Danio rerio: one gene and its partner. The protein of the gene in region 2 purifies or fractionates together with the protein of the main gene of each other region. This does not show direct contact. Links are inferred from orthologs where the notes say so. Each region holds a gene or a part of one and is shown on either strand. Other genes may lie near its edges. The genes, in order: insig1 and rnf139.

Region 1 (10,870 bases), on a different chromosome or scaffold from region 2:
ATGCATAAGATTGTACAGAGTTTTTTCAACTGCTGCTGCCTTTGGCACTATTCTTTGTAAAGCTGCTTTGGAACAATGTGTATTGAGAAAAGCTTTAGAAAAAGAAACCAAACTGAATGGAAAAATTTAATTAGATCCGGCATTTAACAGGGATCAAAGAATGGATCCTCAGTACCTGCCATTGTAGCACAGTATATGAGACACGTATCTGGGTTAAGGCCAGAGATACTGCTTGTGCTTGATTAACAGTCAACACAACTGTTATGTACATATCCGCTATGTATATGTTGTTTTTGTACCTGCGTATCTATGATCATGTTAGCACAGTTATGCAATCACGTCCTCACATGAACGATAAGACATGTTGAGCATGCTGCCTTTAAGCCTATAGATGTAGAGGATACTACCGTCAACTGCGTCAGTTGTTTCAATATTTCACCACTCACAATAATAATCAATAGGTTTTTACTACAACAATGACAGCCTCTGGATCCAAACATGGCCAAGGTTTATATTTAAAAAGAAGTAAAAAAATAATCAGAATGGGCTTTGTCATTGACCTTGAGAAGGTGTTTGTGTTTTTGATTTTACTCATAATTGTTTTTTTTTAAAGGTATAAACTTTAAAACTGTGACGGGTAACATATTTTTCATGTGCTACATCACAGGTGTCAATTCGAATTCCTGGAGGGCCTTAGCTCTTTACAGTTTAGTTCCAACCCTGCCTCAACCCACTTACCTGTAGGTCTCAAACAAGCCTAAAGAACTTAATTAGTTTGATTAGGTGTGTTTAAATAGGGTTGAAACTAAACTGTGCAGAGCTCTGGCCCTCCAGGAACTAGAATTGACACCTGTGTGCTACATACATTCTTAGGCTAAGTGCTGGTCACACAAACTATCAGCCTAATTTTAAACCCCACAATGACTGAGACTATGACCAATTCAAGACTCGTTGCAACAAACCTTTTTATTCATTCATTCATTCAATTTCTTTTCGACTTAATCCCTTTATTAATCTGAGGTCGCTAGAGTGGAATGAACCACCAACTTATCCAGCATGTTTTATGCAGCAGATGCACTTCCAGCCACAACCCATCACTGGGAAACTTCCATACACACTCATTCATTCACACACACTCAGACACTACGGTCAATTTTAGCTTACCCAATTCACCTGTACTAAATGACTTTGGACTTGTGGGATAAAACGGAGCATCCAGAGAAAACTCACGCGAACACAGGGAAACATGCAAACTCCACACAGAAATGCCAAGTGACCCAGCTGAGGCTGGAACCAGCGACCTTCTTGTTATGAGGTGAACATACTACCCCCTGCTCCACTGCAAACTTGTTAATAAAAATACTCAATTGTACTGAGGATTTTTTTACTGCTGGATGCCAAACCGTAAATAATAAACATGTCTAATAATTAAGACTTTAGTCGCACAATATAAGAGGCATGATGTTGATCTTCCTAAATTTTAGTTTTTAAAGGGCACCTATTTTACACCCTTCACAAGATGTAAGACAAGCCTTTGGTGTCTCCAAAATGTGTCTGTAAAGTTTCAGCTCAAAATACCCATCTGATTATTTATTAAAGGTTCAGGAAACCCTCGAGCACTTTTTTTTTGTTGTTGAGGTTTTTAAAGATTTGTTGATCATCAAAAAAAAAACAAATGTAGCAGGGCATTATATTACTGTTTATTTCTTTGCATTTTAACTTTGGAAACCTTAAAATCATGGATCTCCTCAAGGTTTGTGTCTCATTTTGTGTTGCCAACTGACAACAGTTCCCCTCCTTCTCCCCTGCTCTGCTGGCCACACCCACTCCTGCCTCTGCTCAAGGAGCTCCACACCCATTATGATGCTTTTTTTTAAATTTCTGAGGTAGACTTAAACCGTAAGTGGGGGGGTTCATGGCCCTTTAAAGCCTCCAGAATTTGCCCATTTTTGGTGTCTAAATACAGTGTAGCTGTTTTTGTAGCCTGTGGCTTTAAATGCAAATGAGCTTCTTCTCTCTGCCCACCTTCCCATGTGTGTGTCTGCTTCTGATCATGCGGTATGTCAGATAAACAGCACAGCGACAGAGACAGACTTGAATAAAGCTGAAATACAGTTATTCATCAAAAATACCAAGTTTATTTCATGTATTTGTGGTGGAGTTTTTTCAAGCCTTCCTGAAATTATGAATCTCACACAAATGCTGTTTGCAGTACACACACACACACACACACACACACACATTATGTTTACTGACACGATACAGTCGTGGTGAATATAGTGGTTAAGAATTGGATAGCATTTTACTGTCTTAATTCCAAACATGCTGTTTTAAAAAAGTTTTAAACTTATAAAAATCACTGAAAGTTGTAACAGATATTTTACTCCCAATTTATTTGCAAAACTCTCAGACTGCTTTTGAACATTCCAACATGTGCGTACTTATAGTCTGCAGGAACCTTAGGTCTTAAACAGACTTCAGTATTATGACATAATTCCAGCTGAAACAGAGTATTAGAGAAAAGGGTTTCACTTCAGCGCTTTACTTTATTAGCCGATTATTAAGAATATTGTGATTTCCAAAGAAGCGTCTTTCCAGAGCAGAAGCTAATGGAGTGGAGATAGACACGTTTACATGGAAATCAGTAATCAAATTATTTCTGAATATGGCAATATTATGATTAAGGTGTTTATGAGTAGCTTTTTGAATGTTCCTTTCATGATCCTGTTTTACATGTTATAGCACAAAATTCGATTATAACGTCATCACGCTATCCACATTTCCACATTTCCTCCGGAGTAATGTAATTTGATGTAATTTCGGGTGTTTCATTTTTAATTTGTTGACTTCAACTACAGTTTGACTCTTTCACTTTCATTCAGGAACATTTCATTCATGCCCCCTGTGACAAACAAGATATTGGATGAGATTAACAGCTGGAAGAGTGTTGTTTTAATATAATTTGATATCGCAGTTTGCCATCTTAATTAACATAAACAAAGAACACTGATCGCTTACCAAAACTAGACAGGACAATCAACATCAACTAGAACCGCGTTTTTTTTAAAAGAAGGAAAGCGGCAAATCTGGATTTCACCATTTCCAGATGTGAAAAGCTCATCTGGTAAAAAAAACACTGACGATCCATATCTCCAAACAATTCTTCTTCTACTACTTGTTTTAATTATGGTTGGTCATCTGGGCACTGTAACAGGTAAAAACCGTCTTTGAACTATATCATGCATATTAATGAAGTTGCACCTCATTCACAGTAGAGCGCGCTGATTGGTTCGAACCAAGTCTTTGTAATGAATTTATGCTGAAAACTCAGACATCATGTTGTACCGGTTCAGACATCCAGTCTCCATGCTGGAATTTACACTATGATCTCATGGCCGTAACGCAGCTTCAAAATTTCTTTTTAAATCTGAAGAATGAATTGGCTCAAATATTGCAAAACCCACCAATTTTCACTTTTTTGTGAAATATATGTGTCCTAATAGTGTTTTAGCAACGTGAGTCATATTTATGATTGTCAACATCTCAAAAAAATGTGTTTTGGTGTTTCGTGACTCGTTAACATCCACAGCACGTTTCCATTGCACATAAGTTTCTCTGTTGAAAAAAGGTTCATTAATGTGTTTAGGATGTCTTTCACACCAATAAAATAATGCTTCTTTTCTGAACTTTCATCAACACAAAAGCTTTTTAGATATCAAAAATGGTTATTTTCTAGCACTGCAACGAAAAGCCCATTTTGGAACCTTTATTGTAAAAACAGCAGCTAAAGAGTTGTTGACAGTCATTCTTGACAAGGGGCAAACATCAGACTCATTTATCTGGTGAGGAGTGGTTCCACTGAGGTAAGAGACTGAACTCTGTTCTGCTCTGAATCAATAAACTATAAGTACACAAGTTTATTTACAGTGGGGGAACAGCCCACTGAGCATCATGACCTGATTTCTTGTTTTCAGTCTCACGGACACGTACTGCACGCTGTCACGTATAGCCAACAAATCCGCATTATCTCATACACTTTCAGGGCCTGTTCACTCATAGTGAACTAAAAAAAAGTTCATATCAGCAAAAAGCTTTCTTGTCTGTACCCTGAAAAGATTACAAATACATTTACCCAACAAGTAGTTTGTTTTGTGCAAACAGGAGAACAGCAATATTGAACACTGAGAAAATCTCGAATCAGTGCTGTATTGCTTAGTTACTGAAAAGGATTTAGCAAAGCAAGGTCATTAAACTTAACCAATCTAGAAGTTTAAGACTTTTCTGCATGACTCTGGCATAGCGTCAACACACACACACACACACACACACACACACACACACACACACACACACACACACACACACACACACACACGCACACGCACACACGCACACGCACACACGCACACGCACACACACACACACACACACACACACAAGGCGAACAGCTGATGGCGAACATCAACAGCGCGTGTCTGTCAGAGAGGGGTGGCGCGCGTTCGCGTCATATGGCCCGCCGCACTCTGATTGGCTAGAGAGACTCACCAGACATGACCGCGCTTGTTTTCTGCAGAGGAAGCGCGCGTGTGGCAGTGTTCAACTGAGGGATGAAAAGAGGCAGCAGTATTTCTCTTACAGATGATGTGATCAAACAACACATCTAAACTATTTGTAGGTAGCCTTTCGTTTTTGTAAAAGAGTTTTGAAAGCACAGACGTGTTCTGCTTTAGACGAAGACATCGCTAAAAGATCAAGGTGGGTAGCCTATTCATTCCCTTTACTTCCACTTCATACTCATTGGGAACAGATTGTTTTTTGGGCTACAGCACTGCTTTTTGTAGCGTAATACTTGACTTTCAACATTATTTTATTTGATCAAGTTAGTGATAATTATTAATGAGTATTACTGTTTTCCAACAGTGCCAAATGCCAAGACTAGAGGAACATTGTTGGAGCTGCTCCTGTTCGACCAGTGTGAAGACGAAGGACCTGTCAAGCGCCGGCTGGATTGTCTGTAAAACGGGTGAAATGATGTCCATCATAACCTCAGTGCTGAGCCACGCGTACGGCTCTCTGCACAGCCTCCAGTCCGCCAATTTAATTCGACGGGGGCTTGTGTTGTTTATCGTGGGAGTTGTGCTCGCTTTGGTGTTAAACTTGCTACAGATCCAGAGAAACGTTACATTGTTTCCAGAGGAAGTGCTGGACACGCTATTTTCGTCCGCCTGGTGGATTCCCCTCTGCTGTGGCACCGCTGCTGGTGAGTCTGTCTGAAACACTTGGGCTCGAATGCTTTGTTCGTGACGATAACAAACAAAGACGGTGTGCTTGCTGAGGGCTTTTTGTTATCGTGTCTTTTATGTAAGATGAGTGATTCGGGGACAGTTTTGTTGACATTGGGCTTTGTAGCTATCAGTAAGCGCTGCCCTGGTAACAGCCGGGCATTTGGGGTCATTCTTGGGGTGCTGCATTCTCATTGGCTGCGCTCAGAACGGGTGAGCTGCGAGAGAGGCACGCCATTGGCTGGTACGCCGAACATGCCACTTACCCGAAAAGAGAAACACGGAAGTCGTGTGCAGCAGAAATTAATAAATAATTCGGTCACGCTCGACTCCTCCCCCTGCATTCCTCATAGTGGTGATGTGGACGCGTATCAGTTTACATCCTTTTCAGTAGAAAATGCCTTTTAAAGAGTTTTGTTGTACTTGAACTCTTCTTATGAGATTTATTTAAACACAAAAGTCATCACCCATTATTTATATACTAAAAGGCGTCAAACAATACCAAGCAGATGTAAAAAATGTTTTTTTCTTCTTCTTTTTTCCCCCTTTCAATGAATGTTGTTTAAAGTACTTTCTGTTTTCTCTTCTCAGCTGTGGTTGGTCTGTTGTACCCCTGCTTGGACCACCATCTTGGAGAACCACACAAGTTCAAGCGGGAGTGGGCAAGCGTGATGCGCTGCATTGCTGTCTTTGTGGGCATCAATCACGCCAGTGCTGTATCCTTAACAGTGACACTTTTACAGTTGCAACCATTGTGGACAATGAAAACTTCCAAACCTTTTTGAGATTTTTGTTTTAAGTCTGTAATAAGCCATGTTACTATTCAATAGCATTAGACAAATCCTTTTTTTTCTTAATCTCTTAACTGTCACATATTTATTTGTTTTTGTCTGAACCTGAATTTATCTTGACAAATTATACATCAAAGGCTAAACTAAAAAAGTGGGGTGACCCGTTAAAGTACTAAACATATTTACACAGCAATAATCTATGCAACGAGAATTATGCTTATCTAATATTTTTAAAAAGTCTTATGTATTGAGGATAGTTGTAATAACGCTGAAAAATGACTAGAAATGCTCAGTACTCTGACCCGGCCAGAAGTTGAAAACTCTGCACACGATATCATTTAACCTTTTTTAAGTTTTGTTTTGACGACTCTGAGTCTGTGTTTTTGGGTAAATGAACAGCAAAAATGCATAAAAGTTTTTATTTTTTGTTGTCATGTAAATATACCTTAAAACTTTACATTAACTCTGAACTCAAACAGTAACATGCACTTCATTGCCAAGAAACCCCATGTAAATGAGAACTGGGTTTTTTAAGAACTAAAAAAAAAAGTTTTTAATAAATTTGACTACAAAGTTTTTGTGGAACCTGTTTACTGCTCTCCAAATGTGTGGACCAGCAAAAACTTGGGAACCTGCACAAACTCAATTCTTGAGTTAACATCACAATGTTTTCAAAATGTATGTTAACATAAGAATATTTTGCTTAACTCAAAGTACCTTACAGAAACTGGACTTTGCTAACAATGTGCAGCTATCGCTAACTCTGGCTGCCCTGTCTCTGGGTCTGTGGTGGACATTTGACCGCTCCAGGAGTGGCTTTGGTTTAGGGCTGACCACTGCCCTGCTGGCCACTCTCATTGCTCAGCTGCTGGTCTACAACGGCATCTACCAGTAAGTTATGACTCAAACATGTTGACAAACAGCAACAGAAAACTGTTTTCATATCAACTAGCAAGTAACTAACACTCTCACATATTCATAATTTTAGTCGTAGAACATGTTTTTTTTGTAAGAAACATTAGCAAATATTATATCAAGTGCAAACACTCAGTTTTGTTTTTCCTTTAAGCAGCTCGTCATTTCAGTCCTTTTCTTCATTTGTTACCAGGTATACTTCTCCAGACTTCTTGTATGTCCGTTCATGGCTGCCTTGTATATTCTTCTCTGGCGGAGTGACTGTTGGAAATATTGGCAGACAACTAGCTATGGTAAGAAACTGCCCCTCATACCAGCCCCCTTTTCCAGTCTTTCATATTCCACAGAATAACTGATGTACTTGATTACTCATGTATTGTGGTTAGTTTCCTCTTGTGTTATGCACAAAGCCAATGGCCACTTTTGTTTAGCTTAAAATAAATAAATGGCAGAAATGAAACTTAGCTTTAGCTAAAGCAAAAGTGAAACTCAATATCTTGGCTCATCAGCTATTCAGCTGTTCCTCTTCTACTTGTATCCAGCCTGCGTGTTTTAGGAAGTAAATCAAACTTGGAGCCAGAATATTTAACTCAACAATTTCAATGTGTACAATTTAGCATGCAGCCGTAAGCTCTGTTCAGACAGGATTATTTTCTAAATGACATTAAAAGACAGTCATTAAAACAGGACTTGTGGCTTTCATAAACTGATTCCAATTAGGTTGGGAATCAAGTTTAACATTAGCAAAAGGAAGTGTAAAGATGGCTTGGGTTATTGTATTTGATGAAGGTAAAACTATCTAGATGTGAACAAACTAGGTAGCTGAAAAGTGGCAGGCAGTTTGTATTGTAATATTCATTTATACTTATAAAAATAAGCTAACTAAGTTTTAAATCTGCCTTAAATAAATGAAAACTAGGATTTAGGATTTTTGTGCATTCTCTTAAATATGTATAAACTATTTTCAGTATCCAATGTATTTCTTTAAAGCAACCAGTTTACCATTTTAGTGTTCTTTTGACACCCTCTAGCGCCTGAGCAGAAACGTCATGCTTGGACATCTTAATTAGCTTGTTTGTGCCATCCCCTCCAAGCCTTCTCAGTCAGCTGTGGCTCTTTGTCTTGCTGACATACCCTAGTTCTTTCTCAATAAGGGCGTGAAAGAAGATTACGCTCCTTGTTTTTCATGCTAATGGTCAGAGAGATGGTAAACAAAGTGCTTTACTGGCTCCAAGTGGTGCATTCTACACGTTGTTACTGGATGCTTTTTGTTTTCGAGCTGGCATCGGCTGATTTTGCTTGACCAATTGGGATTAGTGCTCTGCTAGTATTTTTCCCAGCTTTCTTTATGGAGGGGCCAGTTAAGAGATAGAGTTGATTAAAAAAACTAGAGGTAAATAAATCTAGTAAACCCGGACGTTTGCGTTTGTTAATCTTTTCATGTAAATAATGGCTGTATTTTAGAATACAACTATGATCATCAATTATGGTCACTCTACATAGTTTGGTTTAACATCTGACTAATTAAATAGTTCGATATCTAGTTTACACCATTAACACCTTTACCTTTTTATCATCGTCATTTCGTTGTGTACTGTAGGTGCACTGGAATCATTTAGAGAACATTGCCTGTATATGAAACGTTGTCATTTTTATTTCAACATTAGCTTTCCTAAAGACGGATTCAGCTGCCCTTGGGTGAGGCATGGCAGACAGTGCTGACCTACGAGGGGCTATCAAATTTTACAAGGCTGCCCATCCACATATAATCCTAACATATACAAAGCCCATTTCTTATATATAGTGCATACTAATTATGGCCACAGTGTTGAGAGGCCAAGTGGGTTTAACGGGATCAGGCTCAGCTTCATGAAAACCAATTTTGAGTTGCTCAAAGCACATTTTTAAAAGCACACCTGGGAACATGCTGGAACATATTTAGGTAGTTTGAAAGTCAGCCAAGTGCTCTGACTAATACATAATAATATAGTCAGGATAGTTTCTGCATATTAATGCTGCTTTTTGGTTGTATTGTACGCTGGTGTAGTTTATGCCCATTCCTATATTTTATGGAAATTAGGGACTTAATGCAAATTGAGCTGTTTTTCAGTTGTATCTATTTGGTTGTGAATATACTGTATTTTCACCTAACAGACTGTCTGTCTTCTTCCACAGGGCTCGACTGAGAAGATTCATAATGACTAAACAGGTGTCAGAGGGCATGAAGTGAGCTTCGAAGAGTGCCAAAAAAGGACATCTGATATTCTATACTGGGCGTCCCTGGTGTCTATCCAAGCGTATCTTCTGCTTTTAATTTTGCTCCTCTTTATAACTATAAAAGAAAAGAAAGAGCGGGTTGGTCTGAGCTGGCCCAATGTGCCATGAACAACACCTCTGAATAGCCAAAAGATTCCCCCTGGCATTCATTACTACCATCAGCGTCATTATCGTCGTTGTTGTTGTTGTTGTTACAGCTCCTAGCAGTAGTGTTACGGTTGCTGAAGTGCCACTATAGGACTGTGAAAAAAAAATCATAGCTGGTTTCACTGACGATGAAACTACTTGTGAAACCACATCTACAATTGAGCGTGTGCTGGTCCTATGGATAAGACCAGGGGGAAAAAAGACAGTGTGAAAATTCACACTTTTTTAGTTTTACTTTGTGCTGGAGAACTGAAAGAAGAAATCAAAGGGAATAAATACAAGAATACCTAAAATATCCAAAGAGGTCTGTGTACTGTCTATATAGGATTAGTTGTAGTTTGATTTTTGAGCTACCCTTAAAGACTGACCACTTTGAGTATTACTATGAATACCAGAGAGCTTTGATTGCCAATCACATTTGTGCCGACTGGTTAGTGTAGTATACTGACTGAATTGATCGTGTTTTTACCATACTTTGTTGCTAATGTAAACCAAAAGTAAGACTAGAAACATTAGCTATCGAGACGTTAAGTGGCACCTTGAAGAAAGAGTCAAACAGAAGAAAAAAAACAAGGATGCTCTTTGTATTAATGTAAATTCACAATGTAGAATCATATAAAATGGTGTAATGAAGTCCTTTTAAAGTTTCTAAACCAAAAGGTTGGAAACTTTTGATAACTAAACATCAGGAAGACATTTTACTGCGGCCTCGAAGGTTTGCAATCTGTGATTGCCTTTGTATTATAGAATTAAGTGCTTTTGTCACTTTCACCCGTACAGTCAATTTTTTTATTTTATTTTTTTGTATTCTATTCATTGTGTATTGCTTTTCACCTGTAGCAGCTTCTCTGTCTAAATAAAGAGGTATCACTGGGCTAGTGTGCAGGTTTGGGGGTCTTAGCAAATTAAGTGCAATCACTTTCTTTGAGCCTGGTATTCTTTCATATTTATTACCTTTTACAATGTTAAGGAACCCCAGATGACTCATATGCAGTATAGTGGCAAACCAGCAATAATCACTTTGTTTATACGTACATACATGAAGGTGTAGTAGGATGGCAAACTCGTTTTTAAAAGAAGTCACACATGAAAGATAATCTTGCAAATGATACCAATGACCATTTCCACTGTTATGGGGAAAAAAAAAACATTGATGTTCATTGTCTTTACTAGCAGTAGTGAATTATTTTAAGCAAAATACTGTGCGCTGTATTTTGGGAATGTTTGATGAAGACCATGAGGGATATGTTTTAAAACCACGATAAAACGTTCCTCTCTGAACCACTCTGTTTCAGGGAAGGAGAGATGTTAAAGTGAATGAAAGCTTTATTTCGAAGGGAGTGAGAAATGTGTTTCTAGGAGTGAATGTGCATGTGTGTTTTTACCACTTTGGTTCATTTATACTGTTTTAGTTCAATTATGGATGAAATTCAATAAAATTGTGTATTGTACATCAGG
Region 2 (9,466 bases):
TCTTGTTGTTTCCCCTGTATTTTTATTTTTTCCTTGTTGTTTCTTCACTGTTTTCTCAGTGTTTCCTTGCAGTTTCCTCAGTATGATCTCTTGTTTTTCTCTGTTTCCTTGCTGCTTCCTTACTATTTCCTCAGTATTCTCCTTAGTGTTTACTTATTGCTTCCTCATTGTTTCCTCTGTGATTTCCCAGTGTTTCCTTGTTGTTTCCTCAGTTGTCTTCAAGTTTTCCTGTTGTTTTCTAATTGTTTCCTCAGTGTTTGCCTATTGTTTGTTCAGTTTTTCCTCAGTGTTTCCACAGTATTTCCTCTAGTTTTCCTCAGTGTTTCCTTGGTATTTCCTCAGTGTTTGCTCAATGTTTTCTCAGTGATTTCCCAGTGTTTCCTCTTGTGTTTCAGGTGCACTCGTTCGACGGCTCTCAGCAGGACGCGGCGGCTCTTCTTGATCTGGATCTCTACATTGGTATTAACGGCTGGTGAGTGCAGCGTCTCTGAAGGATCTTCATCTCCGGGTTTGTTCATCACTGGCGGGTTTTCCTCCTGTGTTTCAGCTCCTTAAAGACAGCAGAGAATCTGGAGGTGATGAAGTCCATCCCGTCTGACAGACTGATGATCGAAACAGGTGCAGAGGCTCTCATTATTCGTTTATCTGCATCATTCCATGTGATATTCCAATATGTGCATAACATAAGTGTCTGGAGGCAGAGTGAGTGAGTGAGTGTGTGTGTGTGTGTGTTGATTTCCTCTGCAGACGCTCCGTGGTGCGGCATTAAAAACACTCACGCTGGAGCCAAACTGATCAAGACCAGCTTCCCCACCAAGAAGAAGTGGGAGACGGGACACTGTGTGAAGGACAGGAACGAGCCCTGCCACATCATGTGTGTGAGAGACAGAGAGTGTGTGTGTGTGTGTGTGTCCTGCTGAAGACTGTGTGTTTGTATGAGCAAGAATCCTGCTGAAGTGTTTGTGTTCATGCATGTTTAGCTGCACACTCAAATGCTTGTGTGTGTGCGTGTGCGTGTGCGTGTGTGTGTGTGTGTGTGTGTGTTTCAGACAGGTGCTGGAGGTGATGGCCGCTGTCAGGGAGGAGGATCCACTGGATCTCGCTGAAACCATCTTCAACAACACCGACACACTGTTCTTCAAGAACCGCTCATGAGGAAACACTGGCTGTGTATCACACACACACACACACACACCAATAGACATATCTTCAGTAGGACTCTCCCATAACCCCACACACACACACACTCAATAAAAGAAAATATGACAACACACACATGTTCTGTCGTGGCTTATTATCATCATACACCCAAACTATGATGTGTTTATTAACAGAAAAGAAGATGAAGTATAAATAAAACTGAAATATTACATTCATTTGAAGTATTAATATTACTAATTGTAATTAATAAATGCATAACTAAAATTGAAGATAAAGGCACATATATTCTTCAAATAAAATAATGTAAATCGTATTAATATGAAAATAAAAACACATGCAATTTAAAGATGAAATATTCTATTAATGACACTGCACTACAGGCTATGTAGGCCCACTGCTTTATTATTAAACCAGTTAGTTAATATTCATGAGTTGCTCATTAACATAACTGGAACGGTCACGTTTAAAATAAAACATTACAGAAGAACAGATGATTCTACACTACAGAAGTTTGTATTAGGGTTATTAAGAGCATGAGGATTCATACGCAGCTATACTTTATATTAAAGCATTGTATTTTAAACTGAATTATATTAATTAAACACGTATGGAATAAAAGAAGTTTCTTGAATTGAAATATTTTAAAATAGTTTTTTGTCATTGTACAAACAATAATTACAAACACAAAGCACAATTTATCTGAACTACAAACTGAGACATTTTAACTCTTAAAGAAGCTTTGAATAATACTAAAGCCGGGCGCCGGTGCTGTAGTGTAGTATTCTGTAGTCTGCGCATGCGCTCTGCCACTTCCGCGTTCCTCACATAGCAACAGCAGCAGAGCCAAAATGGCGACCGGTGGAGATCCTGCCTGACATCGAACCGAGTCCTGACACCGAGAGCCGCGGTTCCCGGACACCGGCATCAGCGCCATGGCCTCCGCTCACGGGCGGCTGGGTCAGCACTTCCTTGCCGTGCTGGATGTGGTTCTGCGGGTCCCGAGCATCTTTATAATCGACGCCATATTGAACTCGTACTCTGATCCCGGTACCGGATGGAGCGGCGCCGCCGGGAGAGCCCTGATCCGCGCGCTGGGTGAGTGCGGGATTCCATACCGGTGTTAAATCTGCTCTTTTAGGCTTTCTGCTTATCAGCTTATAGCGCTGAAAACACCGGGCCTCAAAACACCACCGACTGACGGACTGACTGACAGCTCGAGCCGCGCGCGTGTTGAGGAAACGGAAACCTGACAGATTCATGCACTGCTGTAGAGCTGACCCTCCACTACACACACACACTCACAATTATATATACTATACACAACATATCAACAATGACACTGCTCATTCAGACAACACATACACAACATCCAAACTACATATCACAACTCAACACACACAGATGACCAGACATACACAGCATATAGACAACATAACAACACTGACACTGCTCAACACACTAACATACACAGATGACGAGAGGTGTACTAAAACATTCAGACAACATATAGACAACATATCAACACTATCAGAGCTCAACACACTAATACACAAAGACGAGAGATGATCTGAAATGTTCAGACAACTAGAGATGTACCGATTCCCCCGACTCACGATTCATAATACAATTTATTTACAAGATAATCTAAAGTAAATTTAAGGTGACGCGTCCTTCATTCTGTTCTTAAACGCAGACATTTTTTGCAAAACGATATATTTTCTGGCATAACTAAATTGCTATTAAAAACAGAATAATATAAACTACTGAAGACTAATAAACTACTAACCCTAATGCAAATACACCAGCTCACACAGTAGCTGATTGCTGACTAATTTCATTGGCTGACGCTGCTATGACGATCGCGTCAGACACTTCAGACACGCCCTCTGTCAAGGGTTGATGCTGAAGCCCATGTGAATCGAGCATATATGGTGCAGATTATGGATGCTGAATGATGTATTGTGCAGCTCTACTGTATCCGTGCTGATTCTCAGTGTTCTGCTGTCTGTCCTGCAGGTATTGTGGTGTCCGGTGTGGTTCTGGTGCTTTCCCAGAAGTCCCTGTTCAAGTTCTACACGCTCTTCATGGCTGTTCTGCTGGGCGCGGCGTCAGTGCTGGTCAACTACTACGCCACGGCACACGCCGACTTCTACAGCGCATACAACAGTGCTGCAGTGCTGCCGCGGGACGGGCCGACGCTCTGGCTAGCGTTAGCGCTGATGCAGCTGCTGCTGGGGTTGGGCTATGTGGCGCTGCTGCGCGTGCGGTCGGTGTGCGCTGCTCTCCTGCTGCTGGACATCATGGCGCCGCTGTGGGGGCTGATACTGGAGCTGCCGGCCGACATGAAGCAGGTGCTAGCGATAGCATCAGGAGTGATCTTAGCAACACACGCCGCGCTAAACCTGCTGCTGAAGCTGAAGTGGTTCTACTACTCCTGCCGCTACGTCTACCTGCTGCTGCGCCACATGTACCGCATCTACGGCCTGCAGCTGCTGCTGGAGGACACCTGGAAGCGCATCCGCTTCCCTGACATCCTGCGCGTGTTCTGGCTAACCCGCGTGACCGCGCAGGCCGTCATCCTGCTGTACGTGGTGCGCGTGGTGCGCTCTGAAAGCGGCATGCAGCTCGGATGGGACGTGTTGTGGGATTTGTCCAGTAATCTGATCATTAGCGGCTGCGACTCGACGCTAACTGTCCTCGGGATGAGCGCAGTCATATCATCTCTAGCGCATTACTTGGGTCTTAGCATCCTAGCGTTCATCGGCTCCACAGAGGAGGAGGATAAGCGGCTGGGGTTTGTTGCGCCCGTGCTGTTCTTCATCCTGGCGCTGCAGACGGGTCTAAGCGGCCTGGACCCCGAGGAGCGGCTGGTGCGGCTCAGCAGGAACATGTGCCTTCTGCTAACGGCGATTCTGCATTTCATCCACGGGATGACGGATCCGGTGCTCATGTCTCTCAGCGCGTCGCACGTGTCGTCAGTGCGCAGACATGTGCCGGTTCTGCTCGTGTCGCTAGTTCTGTTTACGCTGCCGGTCCTGCTCAGTTTCCTGCTGTGGCATCATTACGCGCTCAACACGTGGCTGTTCGCCGTCACGGCGTTCTGCATCGAGCTGTGTCTGAAGGTTCTGGTGTCGCTCACGGTATACGCGCTGTTCATGATGGACGGGTTCTACAATGTGCTGTGGGAGAAGCTGGACGATTACGTCTACTACGTGCGCTCTACTGGCAACGTGATTGAGTTCATATTCGGCGTGATCATGTTCGGAAACGGGGCGTACACGATGATGTTTGAGTCGGGGAGTAAGATCCGCGCGTGCATGATGTGCCTTCATGCGTATTTTAACATTTACCTGCAAGCCAAAAACGGCTGGAAAACGTTCATTAACCGGCGCACGGCTGTCAAGAAGATCAACTCTCTGCCGGAGGTGCGAGGCTCGCGGCTGCGGGACATCGAGGACGTCTGCGCCATCTGCTATCAGGAGTTCGGCTCGTCGGCGCGCATCACGCCCTGCAGCCATTACTTCCACGCGCTCTGCCTGCGCAAGTGGCTGTACATCCAGGACACGTGCCCCATGTGCCACCAGCGCGTCTACATCGAGGACGACACCAGCGAGCGCTCCACCTTCTCTAATAATAACGGATACGGGGCAGCAGGACAGGAGAGGGCGGAGTTTGAGGAGAATGAGGGTGGAGCTGAGGACGGCGTGGCTGCGGCAGGGGCGGAGCCTGAGAACGAGCTGCTGGAGGATAATGACAGTATTGAGTATGACGAGGAGGAGTGGGGAACGCAGCCCGGCGTCACGCTCATCGAGGAGGACTACATTAATGACGACACAGACTCCAACTGAACCAGCGGGGATATTTAAGATCAGGGACGTTGTGTATTTTTTAGATCTGTGGCCAGAAATTGTTCGAGAAATCCATTCTGCATTGATCCTGAGATTTTTGAATTGCGTCGCTTTTTTCGCTTGAATTAATTCTGAGCCTAGTTTACAACAGTAGATGGCGCTCTAGGCTAGTTTACAGCAGCAGATGGCACTCTAGGCTATTTTATAAAAGCAGATGGTGCTCTAGGCTGTTTTAAAACAGCAGATGGTGCTCTAGGCTGTTTTAAAACAGCAGATGGCGCTCTAGGCTGTTTTAAAACAGCAGATGGCGCTTTAGGCTAGTTTACAACAGTAGATGGTGCACTAGGCTATTTTATAAAAGCAGATGGTGCTCTAGGCTGTTTTAAAACAGCAGATGGCGCTGTAGGCTGTTTTAAAACAGCAGATGGCGCTCTAGGCTGTTTTAAAACAGCAGATGGCGCTCTAGGCTAGTTTACAACTGCAGATGGTGCTCTAGGCTAGTTTACAACAGCAGATGGTGCTCTAGGCTAGTTTACAACAGCAGATGGTGCTCTAGGCTAGTTTTAATAGAGCAGATGGAGCTCTAGGCTGTTTTAAAACAGCAGATGGCGCTCTAAGCTAGTTTACAACTGCAGATGCCGCTCTAGGCTAGTTTACAACAGCAGATGGTGCTCTAGGCTAGTTTTAATAGAGCAGATGGAGCTCTAGGCTAGTTTTGAACATCAGCAGGGTGCTGTCTGCAGTAAAAAACGAGCCTAGAGCATGTGTTACTTTTAAAAAAAACTAGCCTAGAGCGCGATCTGCTTTATTAATACTAGCTTTGAGTGCCATCTGCTGTTAAACACTAGCCTACAACAGCATTAGCTGGTGTAATATAGCCTAAAACACCATAGAGCAGATGTTGCTCTAGGCTAGTTTCTAACAGCAGATGGTGCTCTAGGCTAGTTTCTAACAGCAGATGGCTCTCTAGGCTGTTTTTATTAGTGCACATGGCGCTCTAGGCTAGTTTTGAACATCAAATAAGACGGTACCTGCAGTTAAAAACTAGCCTAGAGCATGTTTTACTTTTTTAAAACACTTGCCTAGGGCGCTATCTGCTGTTAAAAACTAGCATAGAGTTCCATCTGCTGTTAAACACTAACCTACAACGCCATCTACTGGTGTAATATAGCCTAAAACACCATAGAGCAGGTGGCGCTCTAGGCTAGTTTCTAACAGCAGATGGCGCTCTAGACTAGTTTTTACCAGCAGCAGATGGCGCTCTAGGCTAGATTCTAACAGCAGGTAGCGTTCTAGGCTAGATTCTAACAGCAGATGGCACTCTAGACTAGTTTTTTACCAGCAGCAGATGGCGCTCTAGGCTAGTTTCTACCAGCAGATGGCGCTCTAGGCTAGTTTCTAACAGCAGATGGCGCCCTAAGCTTGCTTTTAACATCAAGTGGGGCGTTATCTGCTGTTAAAAACTAGCCTAGAGCACCATTTGCTATTAAACACTAGCCTGCAACGCCATCTACAAGTGTAATATAGCCTTAAACACCATCTGGTGTTAAACACTAGCCTAGAGCGCCATCTGCTGTTTAAACTTAGCCTAGAGTCCTTATGCAATTAAAAACTAGCCTAGAGCGCCATCTGCTGTTAAAAGACTAGCCTAGAGCATCAACCCCTAGTAAAAACAAGCCTAAAGCGCCATCTGCTGGTAAAAACTAGCCTCGCAATCCTGAATAGTAATGTATTTTGAGAGGCTCCATGTCAATACAGAATCGTTTTCTCCAATGATTTCTCGACCACAGTTCTAGTATTTTCGTTGTGTTCGTATTAAAAGGGCTGATCATGTGTTTTTCCTGGAGCGCTCTTGCCGATGTTTGGCTGAAGGAGTGAACGCTGAAGAGTGACGCGCTACTGTAATGGCAGTATACCTCCGTATGATCACTACTGGTCTCTTGTGTGACCTCTCGTATAATTGTGTACATTATTGTACATGTAATAAAAGAATGATACACTGACGTAAGACTGCAGAAAGCTGAATCAGCTGTTCATCTCAGCTCCGCCGCTCTCTTCTCACACGCTGTTGCTTTCTGAACACAACTTACAATGCAAATAACAACACATTTCACCATAAACAGAGTACAGCGGTTGGCTTTTCTGATTAAATTCACGATTAAAATGTTTGATTTCAGGTTTAAATGTTGATTTGCCAAGAGGACTGATGTACAGCAATGATCAGCTTTAGTTCTTTTGTAAATAAAAGTTAATTGAGCTGAAGTTCAAGAGGAATCTGGAACTTTGCACTTGATTATATTTTTTTGAATGCTCCTGTTTGTGTTTGTTTTCTCTCAGGTTTTATTTTAATTGATTATATATATATATAACATTTGTTTTAACATTTCAGTTAAATTTAGTATTTAATCTAAATAATGATATTAAAGAAAAAAATATGCCGTCATATTTGACATATTATAAAACTCTATTTAAAGGTCACAGTTTGACTGAAAATACTCATTATTAATTATTAGTATGATTCAAATCAGTAGCATTTACACACCATCATAAAGTCAAACATAATCACGTTTAATTGATTCTGTGACATATTTTAATAGGCAGAGTTCAGAATATGTGTGTGGTTTAATTTTATCCTATACCTTCGTTAAATGAAGGACAAAGATCATCAATCTGCCCATATTTTGACATTTATTTATAACTAAATTTATTTAAAACATTAAAGCTGTCAAGTTATTAAAGGATTTAATAGATGTTATGTGTATATAAATCAATTTTGCACATTTAATATGATTGACACCATTAATGTGATGTCTTTTCTTTGACCCATAGAGTTTTATTTCTTTAATTAATGTTAAATAATGTGCACTTTCATTCAAATGTATTAAAAATGTATTATTTATATTTAAAAAATCATACATTTATTATCAGTTATACTTTATAATGAGTAAAAGGTGCACAAATTAGCTTGTAAAACATGAATGAATGTAAAGATAAATGCAGTATAAACACTATGTAGTGAATGAGGTTATATTTGATGTCTGACCTATGAATTTTAATATTTAAACTATTAATCTTTGTGTATTTTATTTTAATGGTTCATTTCTCCAAATTAGTAACAGTTTTATCCCACTTTTTGAACTAAAGTACAATTTAAGACAGAATATGTTGTGAAAATGTTGTATTGTGCATTAATAGTTACCTATATTATTTTAGTCTATGATATTTAGTCGTAATAAATATATCGTTTTCTGTTTAAAATATATGTTTAATATAATCTTCAGTTGATTTGTTGTATATCCGCGCTCATTTCATCATAGGAAACTAGAGAAGGTGAATCTGAGCTTCAACTTTGACCTTTAGGTGTTGTTTTTCTGCTCATCAGCAAGACTAAACTACATTTCCCATAGCGCTTCCGTCTCTCGGAACTACACTTCCCATCATGCAACAGCAGCGCGATCTTGAGCGTCAGAGGAGCCCGTGGAAAGTCAGTCAGTCAGTCATATAAATGAATCATAATAACGCTGGAATAAGCGCATAACGGCCGCGTGTTTTACTGTAAATAGTAACGGCAAATGGACGCGGTTTGCTGAGGCGCGTCTGGTGTGAGTGTGTGACGGTAACGGTGTTGTGAGGCGCGGGTTGGGTCGCTCGGTGAGGCCGGTGTGTGTGTGTGAATGACGGGAGTGTCTGTGATCATGATCTAACGTTAGAATAGTCGGTGTTTTTCTCTGCTCGTGTGTGTTTCTCGCGCTCTGATGATCCGCTCGGTGTTGCTGCGCGCGCTCGCGGCTCGCCCGCCGTCCGCTCCGGTTCCCGGTCACCTGCACAGATGTTTGCTCGGGACTCACCGGCGGAAAATTAAACCCGAACAGCTGGAGTTACCGAACCAGACGCGGGAGTTCGTGTACAGCCTGAGCCCGGAGACCCGGAGCCGCCTCCTGAAGGAGCTGCAGACCTTCGAGTCCAAGACGGAAGGTAAATTAACGGGCATAGATTACTATGGTAAAGCCCTGAAGTGATGTAAAGTTAGGATTATATAACAAAGTGACGACTTGTGACACGCTACCCATATTGTTCACCATGCTAACGTTACTCTGAATATTGGGATGATGTGAATTAGCACGCAAGTATGACTTTAAAACAGCTTTAGCACTATTTAAAGTCCACATGAAATCAAAACTAACCATTATGGATTCTGTTAGCTCACACTGCCAACAACTCATCTGTGCAGGTCATTAAGAAAAACAAAATAGTTTGCCCTTCTAATCTTTAATTGAAGTCTGAACATGCTCTTCTGTTTGTTTTATGTTAAATTCTCAGAATACCTCTGTATTGGGCGTGGTTAACATACTTAACCACGCCCCTTAAACTGTCAACAATCAGAAATGGTGAAGAGGAGGAGGAGTCTGTTAGGTTGGAATAGCTCTTAACCCTTTTCCCCATATTTCTAAATAAAA

What was found.
Region 1: the proteins of rnf139 (region 2) and insig1 purify together in Homo sapiens (affinity purification with western blotting, with the first as the bait; 3 studies listed by BioGRID). This does not show direct contact. The link is inferred for Danio rerio from reciprocal best matches to the Homo sapiens genes RNF139 and INSIG1.

Annotation. Positions count from the first base shown.
Region 1 is NC_133182.1:41,356,498-41,367,367, reverse strand, and holds insig1 (insulin-induced gene 1 protein), read left to right. Parts: upstream 1-4,596; 5' UTR 4,597-4,755; intron 4,756-4,920; 5' UTR 4,921-4,926; coding exon 4,927-5,260; intron 5,261-5,873; coding exon 5,874-5,998; intron 5,999-6,613; exon of another isoform or gene 6,614-6,797; coding exon 6,798-6,964; exon of another isoform or gene 6,965-7,181; coding exon 7,182-7,281; intron 7,282-9,163; coding exon 9,164-9,193; 3' UTR 9,194-9,970; downstream 9,971-10,870. UniProt on the Homo sapiens protein: Oxysterol-binding protein that mediates feedback control of cholesterol synthesis by controlling both endoplasmic reticulum to Golgi transport of SCAP and degradation of HMGCR.
Region 2 is NC_133194.1:331,632-341,097, forward strand, and holds rnf139 (E3 ubiquitin-protein ligase RNF139), read left to right. Parts: upstream 1-2,013; 5' UTR 2,014-2,093; coding exon 2,094-2,256; intron 2,257-3,177; coding exon 3,178-5,009; 3' UTR 5,010-5,144; exon of another isoform or gene 5,145-6,633; 3' UTR 6,634-7,287; downstream 7,288-9,466. Other genes in the region: deoxyribonuclease TATDN1, read left to right, coding at 396-472, 548-618, 748-874, 1,050-1,155; tmem65 (transmembrane protein 65), read left to right, coding at 8,765-8,984. UniProt on the Homo sapiens protein: E3-ubiquitin ligase; acts as a negative regulator of cell proliferation through mechanisms involving G2/M arrest and cell death.